2 linked regions of the Saccharomyces cerevisiae S288C genome follow. The protein of the gene in region 2 binds, or shares a complex with, the protein of the main gene of each other region. Each region holds a gene or a part of one and is shown on either strand. Other genes may lie near its edges.

The links. Proteins that work in one complex are often made in the same cells at the same time.
Region 1: SFH1 (region 2) and NPL6 share a complex: the UniProt entries of both Saccharomyces cerevisiae proteins name them as parts of the two forms of the RSC complex.

What each region holds. Positions count from the first base shown.
Region 1 is NC_001145.3:449,541-453,260, forward strand, and holds NPL6 (Npl6p), read right to left. Parts: upstream 1,826-3,720; coding exon 518-1,825; downstream 1-517. Other genes in the region: YMR090W (uncharacterized protein), read left to right, coding at 1-388; AIP1 (Aip1p), read right to left, coding at 2,092-3,720. UniProt on the Saccharomyces cerevisiae protein: Component of the chromatin structure remodeling complex (RSC), which is involved in transcription regulation and nucleosome positioning. RSC is responsible for the transfer of a histone octamer from a nucleosome core particle to naked DNA.
Region 2 is NC_001144.5:776,108-779,867, reverse strand, and holds SFH1 (Sfh1p), read left to right. Parts: upstream 1-2,003; coding exon 2,004-3,284; downstream 3,285-3,760. Other genes in the region: PEX30 (peroxisome biogenesis protein), read right to left, coding at 1-653; U2-type spliceosomal complex subunit CWC24, read left to right, coding at 916-1,695; MMS22 (Mms22p), read right to left, coding at 3,564-3,760. UniProt on the Saccharomyces cerevisiae protein: Component of the chromatin structure-remodeling complex (RSC), which is involved in transcription regulation and nucleosome positioning. RSC is responsible for the transfer of a histone octamer from a nucleosome core particle to naked DNA.

The sequences.
Region 1 (3,720 bases), on a different chromosome or scaffold from region 2:
CAAAGTTGTTGAAGCATGCGAAAAGGCTGGTATCAAAAGGTTCGTTGTTGTTTCAGCGCTCAAGGCGGAGGATAGAGATTTTTGGTATAACATTAAGGGTTTGCGTGAATACTATATTGCAAAGAGATCTGCTGATCGTGAGGTTAGAAACTCTAATTTGGATTACACTATTTTACAGCCTGGATCGTTGGAACTAAATAAAGGTACCGGTCTTTTGCAACCCCTTGACAAATTAGAAGAGAAGGCTTCTGTTAACTACTCCATTAACAGGGAGGATGTAGCTTCTTTTATTGTGGAAAGCTTGCTACATCCAAATGCAACAGTGAAAAAAACCATTTCGTTGGTAAATGGCAACGAGCCAATGGAAAAATTCATTCAAAGTTTGTAGATCAACCTATTTACGCGTGAAATGCATATGTAGATGAATAGTCAAGAAAAGAAAAAGAAAGTGAGAATATATGAATTTTTTTACCTTGATTTGAAGATAAAAATTTGTTATATTGTTACATTGAGTATACTAAATATATTCGTTGCATTTTTCGAAATTTTGTTGTTCGGTGATAGCCCTTAAAACGTCTTCATCAACAACGTCTTCATAGATCTCTTTCGGGATTTCCGACAGTCCCGTTTTCGGTTTATTCAAATCGTTATCGTGTATAACGGTCTCATACACAATGCTTGTGTCGCTGGGACTATCGTTTTTTGATCTCCTCCATCCTAAAACAGTGGTTGACTGTGTGGATTCTGGTATGTGTAATATATTTGTGTATGCATCTCTCAAGCCTTGTTGATCTACAAGAAGAACCTTCACTCTATCATAAAACAAATCGCTATTAAATCTACTACACGCAGCAGAATGCTGATAGAGCCAATTTGTAGAGCTCAGCTTACTACCTGATGCAATAATATTAGAATTACTCATGTGACCATGTGGCCTGTGTTCAAAGAATTCCACCTGGTTTTTTGCAGGGTTTATGCCATTCTCGGAAGCAGGATACATCATGGTTTCTAAGGCCCTTGCGGATTTATCAATAGGATCACCAGCAAGTTTTCCTTCAATTACATTTCCCTTTGTTCTTAATTCAGAAGCATAATAATCATCGGTTATATGTTTGCCGCCACGAATGATTTTAGCACCAAATTCTTTAAACACGCCTCTAGCGGTGACTAGAGCGATTTGTCTATTTCTATATGAATAAGGTAAAACGCCACGGTCTATCAAGTCGTTCTTTTGAGTTTGATTCAGAATGAACTTATAAAGGTTGGGGTGAGTTTGAAAAAATAAATATGAATCTCTAAAACCCACTATCCTAGCCGGTTCGGTGGCCAGCATAAACTTTCGATTCCCCTTCTCAGTTAATGTGAAGGTGCGCACTAAAAATTCTCTGCCTCCTAATAGATCACCATCTGCAGTTATCTTCGTCTCACCTTCAGGATCATCTGGTAGAACATATTCTTCATTGACCACTTTCAAAGGATTTAAGTTCTCCTCAGCATCATCGATTCCGGGAAATACTGGTTTTTTGAACTTTGAACGGTTTCTAGATCTAGTAACGCCTTTATCCTCTGACAAATCCTCTTCTTCGTCCACGTGCCTCCTTTTGTTTCTTCCGCTTTTATTTATCTGTTCCTCCTCATCACTTATTTCTTCTTCATTCACTCCCTCATTGGCTTCTTCTTCTCTGTAATCATCATCTTCATTCTCATCATTTTCATCAATATCTAAATCCTCAGTATCAATTGCATAATTGGGTCTGTTGCTAGTAGATCTTGACCGCTTCTCATGTTCAACTTCGGAAGCTAGACCTCCCTCTGAATCTGACATTTCTGCTAGATGGTATTTCCTTCTTCAAAAGTAAATGTACTGTATTCAGTAATGCTTAAACTTTATAAAGCTGTTTTCTTGCAATATTTTTGTCTGCTCACAGTAACATGTTTAATAGTTCGAACGGGTTTTTTTTTAAAAGAGCGAAGTAATCAAAGCATTCGGGTAATAATTACAAGTTTATATGGACTGTGGTAAAAACAGTGTAAAACTTTTTTATATCTATTTTTCTAAGGTTACGTAATTGTTTACTTTATATTCTTATCTCACTCGAGGACAACATTCCACCTTTTAATGCAAGCGTCCGCACCAGAACTAACCAAGGTAGATGGTGTTTCCCATAAAAGGTTGTTAACACCGTCCTTGTGAGCATTCAACGCCTTAATGATTTTCATAGGTCTTTTGACGGAGTAAATAAAAATATTGGTGTCTAAAGAACCAGTGGCAACTAAGTCCTCTTCAATTTCCTCTTCGTTTGCTCCCTTTTCAGCAGGTTTCCATGAAATGGCGTTGATTTTACTGGTGTGGAAAGCCCATCTTGAAGTTTTCACTTCTCTTGATTGTAAATCATATAGCAATATCTTGCCCATAACATCTCCAGCAGCGATGTATGTTTCAGATGGCGAAATTGATATGTACGAGGGTTTTGCGCGAAGAGGTGTTTTTAAATCAAAACTGACTTCCAAATCTGATAATTTGAATACCTGAATAGTATTACCTTCTTCCAAACCAACTGCAACGTAATTTTGGCTCAAGCTAACGGCAGAGCCTGGTGAGTTCAGTCTTACACTCTTGATTATATCGCCCGTAAAAGACTGTAATATCAACAAATCATCATCATTTGTTAGTACTGCAGTGAAGCCATCATTGTTCGCACTAGCAACCTTTGGTTGCGATCCAAATTCATGCTTAGTAATACCGTTCACTTTCAAAGTATCATCCCAAGAAATACTGGAGTATTCTTGCGCTTTACTATTATCCAATGATACAATCAAGTTGGAGTGATCTTGGTGCATGGAAGAGCTAGACCATTCCATAATCCTACCATCATATGACCCACTGATTAGTGGGTTGACTGTCAAAGCAGTAATACCCTTGTTATGACCACTAATGGTTTTTAAAACCTCGTCATGTCCAAGTTCATAGAAGTTTAAGGTCCCATCCAGTGAAAGAGAAATAATCCTTCCGTTTCCTGTTGCAACAACACCAACTTGTTGATTTCCCAGTTGTTGCTTGTCTAAGGTCCATTTTTGAACGCATTTTGAAGTCGTGACGTCCCAAACCCTAATGGTAGCGTCTGCTCCTACGGTAGCAAACTTTTGGGAATCAAGCCACGATAGTGCAAATATACCACCTTGAACTGGTTCTTGATCATCCTCTATGTATTTAAGAAACTCACCTGATTTGCCATCAAAGCAAGAAATCTTTCTGTCAGACCCTACCGTAATAACAAATTCACCGCTGTCAGGTGAAAATTCAACATCCCTGACAAATGAGCCTTGTTTGTGGTGTGTTCTGTCACTGGCAGAGAACTTAAATGGAGGTCCTTGATAAAAGACAACAGATCCATCATCTCCAACTGTCATAGATCTCATAGGTCTAGATTGCTTCAAATGACAAGCATTGATGCGTTGTGAGTGACCTGAAACTTCACCTAAGGAATTACCAGAATCCCAGGATATGAAAACACCAAAGTTATCACGACCTTCTCCCACAACGCAGAGTCTTCGCCCTTCAAAATCCCAGGAGATATCGCTGATTGGACCTGCTAAAACTTGGAATTCAGACTTAACATTCACTTCAACAGAATTGCTTTCTTTGTCAAATGTCCATCCCCAAACAATCACTTTTCCAGATTCGTCACCGGAGCATAGGTACTGGGAACCCTTAATTGG
Region 2 (3,760 bases):
GTTAAAAGGAACATGCCCACCATCAGCATCAAGCTTCTCGGTGGTAAAAGTAGCCAGGTTATCATCACGTATATTGGAGATAATATGACCGTAGTATATAGAAGCCGTTGAATATCTTGCGTTCCAAGGTTAACCATGGGGGAGAGCAAAATATCTGACTTCAAGGATACTCTGTTCATTAAGAGAGCAATATCTTCTAATGTTGGTGAGGAGCTCAACGTACCCTCAATATAATTGTCCAATAGGGAATAACCCCACAAAATAGCAATGATGGCAAGATGTCCAAAGTACTTCACCAGCGTTTCAAAATACTCAACGGTAGTAATAAAGAGACACAGCATCAAAACACTGCTCCAAATATTCTTTCCTGTCCATGTAACAACGTTTAGGAATTCGTCAATGAGAATTAAATAAGGGTACAATTTCACCAACGCCTTTGAGATTGTGGGCGGTGTTGATGTCAAAAGCGGCGAAGTAGCTACGTTAACTTTCTCCAATGACCCGTTATCATTATCCTCAGACACCCCGCTTTCAGCTTCGTTCTTTTCCAAAGCAGCTCGTATCACTTTTGTAGTATTGCCACCAATCCTCGGTTGCAGCGTCTCTGCAAACTTGGCTCTAGTCTCATGCACGTTAGTTGTGTTACCACTCATTGAAAATCAGTTTTTACACTCCGGAGGATCAACTAGACAGCTCGAATCCTAAATTGCAACCTTGCATGCCCACTTTACCTCAGTAGCGAACGTATCCAAGTATATATTTTGTGAAGCTGATCCAAAAACCCTTTAGTCCTCTTCCCGCTTCTTTCCGTGCAACCGGAGAATAATAAGAAAAAGCCATGCGCATCTCTATCTGAAGTGGACTCAAGCTAAAGCCATCGAAAGCTCCATCACTTAATCAAAGCTCCAGGTATTCATGTTCAGAAAGAGATTAGTGAACAAAAGCTCTTCTGATGAAAAGAACCAGAAAAAGAGGCAGAAAATTAATTTTAGCGAAGAGAAACTAGTGGCCAGCGATGAAGAAAAGGGTTCCAGTGACCTCATGAGCTTAGCCAAGAGTGGAAATAGCAGGACACTTCAACTTTCACATGAGAATGAAGGTAAACTACAGAAAAAGGGTGAGGATTTAGATAAATACACTTTAACGGTCAACGACGACAGCACTAAAGAAGATCTTCTAAACTTTGAGAGAAAAGAGCTGGCTGAGAAGGCAAAGAAGAGGCGACCTAGTGATGACAATGAGCTGGTACTGAACATGAGCGGTAAAAATAAACGCCTCACTAAACAGATTAACCAACCAACGAATATCCGGACCACGGTGCTGATGGATTTTCAGCCCGACGTTTGCAAAGATTACAAACAGACGGGATACTGTGGTTACGGAGATAGCTGCAAGTTCTTACACTCGAGGGATGATTTCAAGACTGGCTGGAAGCTGAACCAAGAATGGAATGCGGATAAAGAGGACTCCAAAGCGGTTACTCTAGACTTGGAAAAGATACCGTTCAAGTGCACTCTTTGTAAGGAAGATTACAAGTCTCCAGTGGTCACAAACTGTGGCCATTATTTTTGTGGATCGTGTTTTGCCAAAGATATGAAAAAGGGCACCAAATGCTTTATATGCCACAAGGAGACCCACGGCAGTGCAAAAGTAGCATCTGACTTACAGAAGATGCTAAATAAAAGGAAAAGTTGATGGAGAATGCCATATCACCCCAAAAATTACACGCACCCGATGCTAATGTACAGGAATTATAGAGCACATGACCCATAGATTTATCGAGCATTGTTGCAATTTCGAAAGACTCTTTCACATAATAAAGTATGTAAACTATATAGATAGAAGATGTCCCGTGTCTTTTTGTCTACTAAATGATGATCTGCTCATTTAAAGTCGCCGCGACTACTTTGACAAAAAAAAAAAACTTAGAAAATACGACAAATAGAGATTATTGAATGAAGTACATTGAAAAAAGAAAGAAGAAAGGCACATAGCAGCACACAATGTCGCACCAAAACCAGCTTATTCCACAAGCTTATATTTCTAACTTTCATAACAGATTGACAAACGAAGATGATGGTATCCCCATCTTTACAATGGCTCAACAAACAAGGCAGCATAAAAGGGCTAAAGTGGTCAACTATGCGGAATATGACAACGATCTCTTTGATGAATTCAATATGAACGGTTCTAATTTCAACAATGCTGATACACACTATAAAGATAATGCAGTGTCTCATGAAAATACTCCGGCACTTACAAATGGTGTTACCATGGACGGTTCCGAATACAATGTCCTAGAGAACATGAATGGAGCTGATAGTATTATCTCTAACAACAAATACGATGCGGGTTCAAACATGGTTGTGGAATCTTTATCCGGTTTGAATAGCAATAACAACGCCAGCAATGGTCCGAGCAACAAAGCGCAGGCACAGGATATTGGAAACGCCGTTCTACCGGATCTGCAAGACCAACACCACAACCCCTTCAACATATTGAGATACCCTAAAATAAGAGATACTTTCATTAACGGAAAAGTGGTGTCTCCATATAGACTCAACACTGATCAAGAAACGAAGGCAAACGCCAATTCTGGAGAGGCAATCATGATACCAATTACTTTGGATATAGAACATATGGGTCATACCATAAAAGACCAGTTTCTCTGGAACTACAATGACGACTCCATATCTCCGGAGGAATTTGCCTCTATATACTGTAAAGATCTTGATATGACTTCCGCTACCTTACAAACTCAAATTGCGAATATAATAAAAGAGCAGTTGAAAGACCTCGAAAATATTGCAGCCACTGAGATAATGTCTGACCTCCACGTGATAATCAACCTAACCTGCAACTTACAAGACAGATTTTTTGAAGATAACTTCCAGTGGAACTTGAACGACAAATCACTTACTCCAGAAAGATTTGCTACATCCATTGTACAGGACCTTGGCTTAACAAGAGAGTTCATCCCCTTAATATCTCAATCGCTTCATGAAACTATCTTGAAGATAAAGAAGGACTGGGTAGATGGCCACTTGATTCAGGACCATGTCCCAAACGATGCCGCATTTGGGTACTTATCTGGTATAAGGCTGGATATTGATGAACTGGGCTCCAATTGGTGCCCAAGGGTGGAAATATTAACAAAAGAAGAAATACAAAAGAGAGAAATTGAAAAAGAAAGAAACTTAAGAAGATTGAAAAGAGAAACTGATAGATTATCTAGAAGGGGCAGGAGAAGATTAGATGACTTAGAAACCACAATGAGAATGTAGTAACTTTGCTTTTCTTGTTACAGAATTGTATTATTATAAGTATTATTAATCAAACGGGAAGGACAAAAAATTTAACAAACGCAGAAGCAACTAAATCAAGACTAAAGAGAACGTAAAAAAAGTCATGCACTTCTTTGAGATACACGTTACCAAAAGAATACAAAATGTTTATCACCAACACTGATAGATCTTGTTTCTATTTGGACTAATTCGCAATTTGACATATATGACATATATTACGGAGAATTTTTAAATATGCTTATATTACATGTGTATAATTTACGTATTCTTGAAGGTTTTGAAAGGTTCAGACGCCTCAATTTTTCCTATATTACTTTCTATTATCTTTATTACAATCGCAGATAGCGAACTTTGCAAAGTAGTATGAGGAATCTGATTAGGTATGTTCATATTACTATCAAGCATCCTTAGCTGCAAAAGTTTGTCATGCTCCCAAAACCCATCTGCGATTCTCA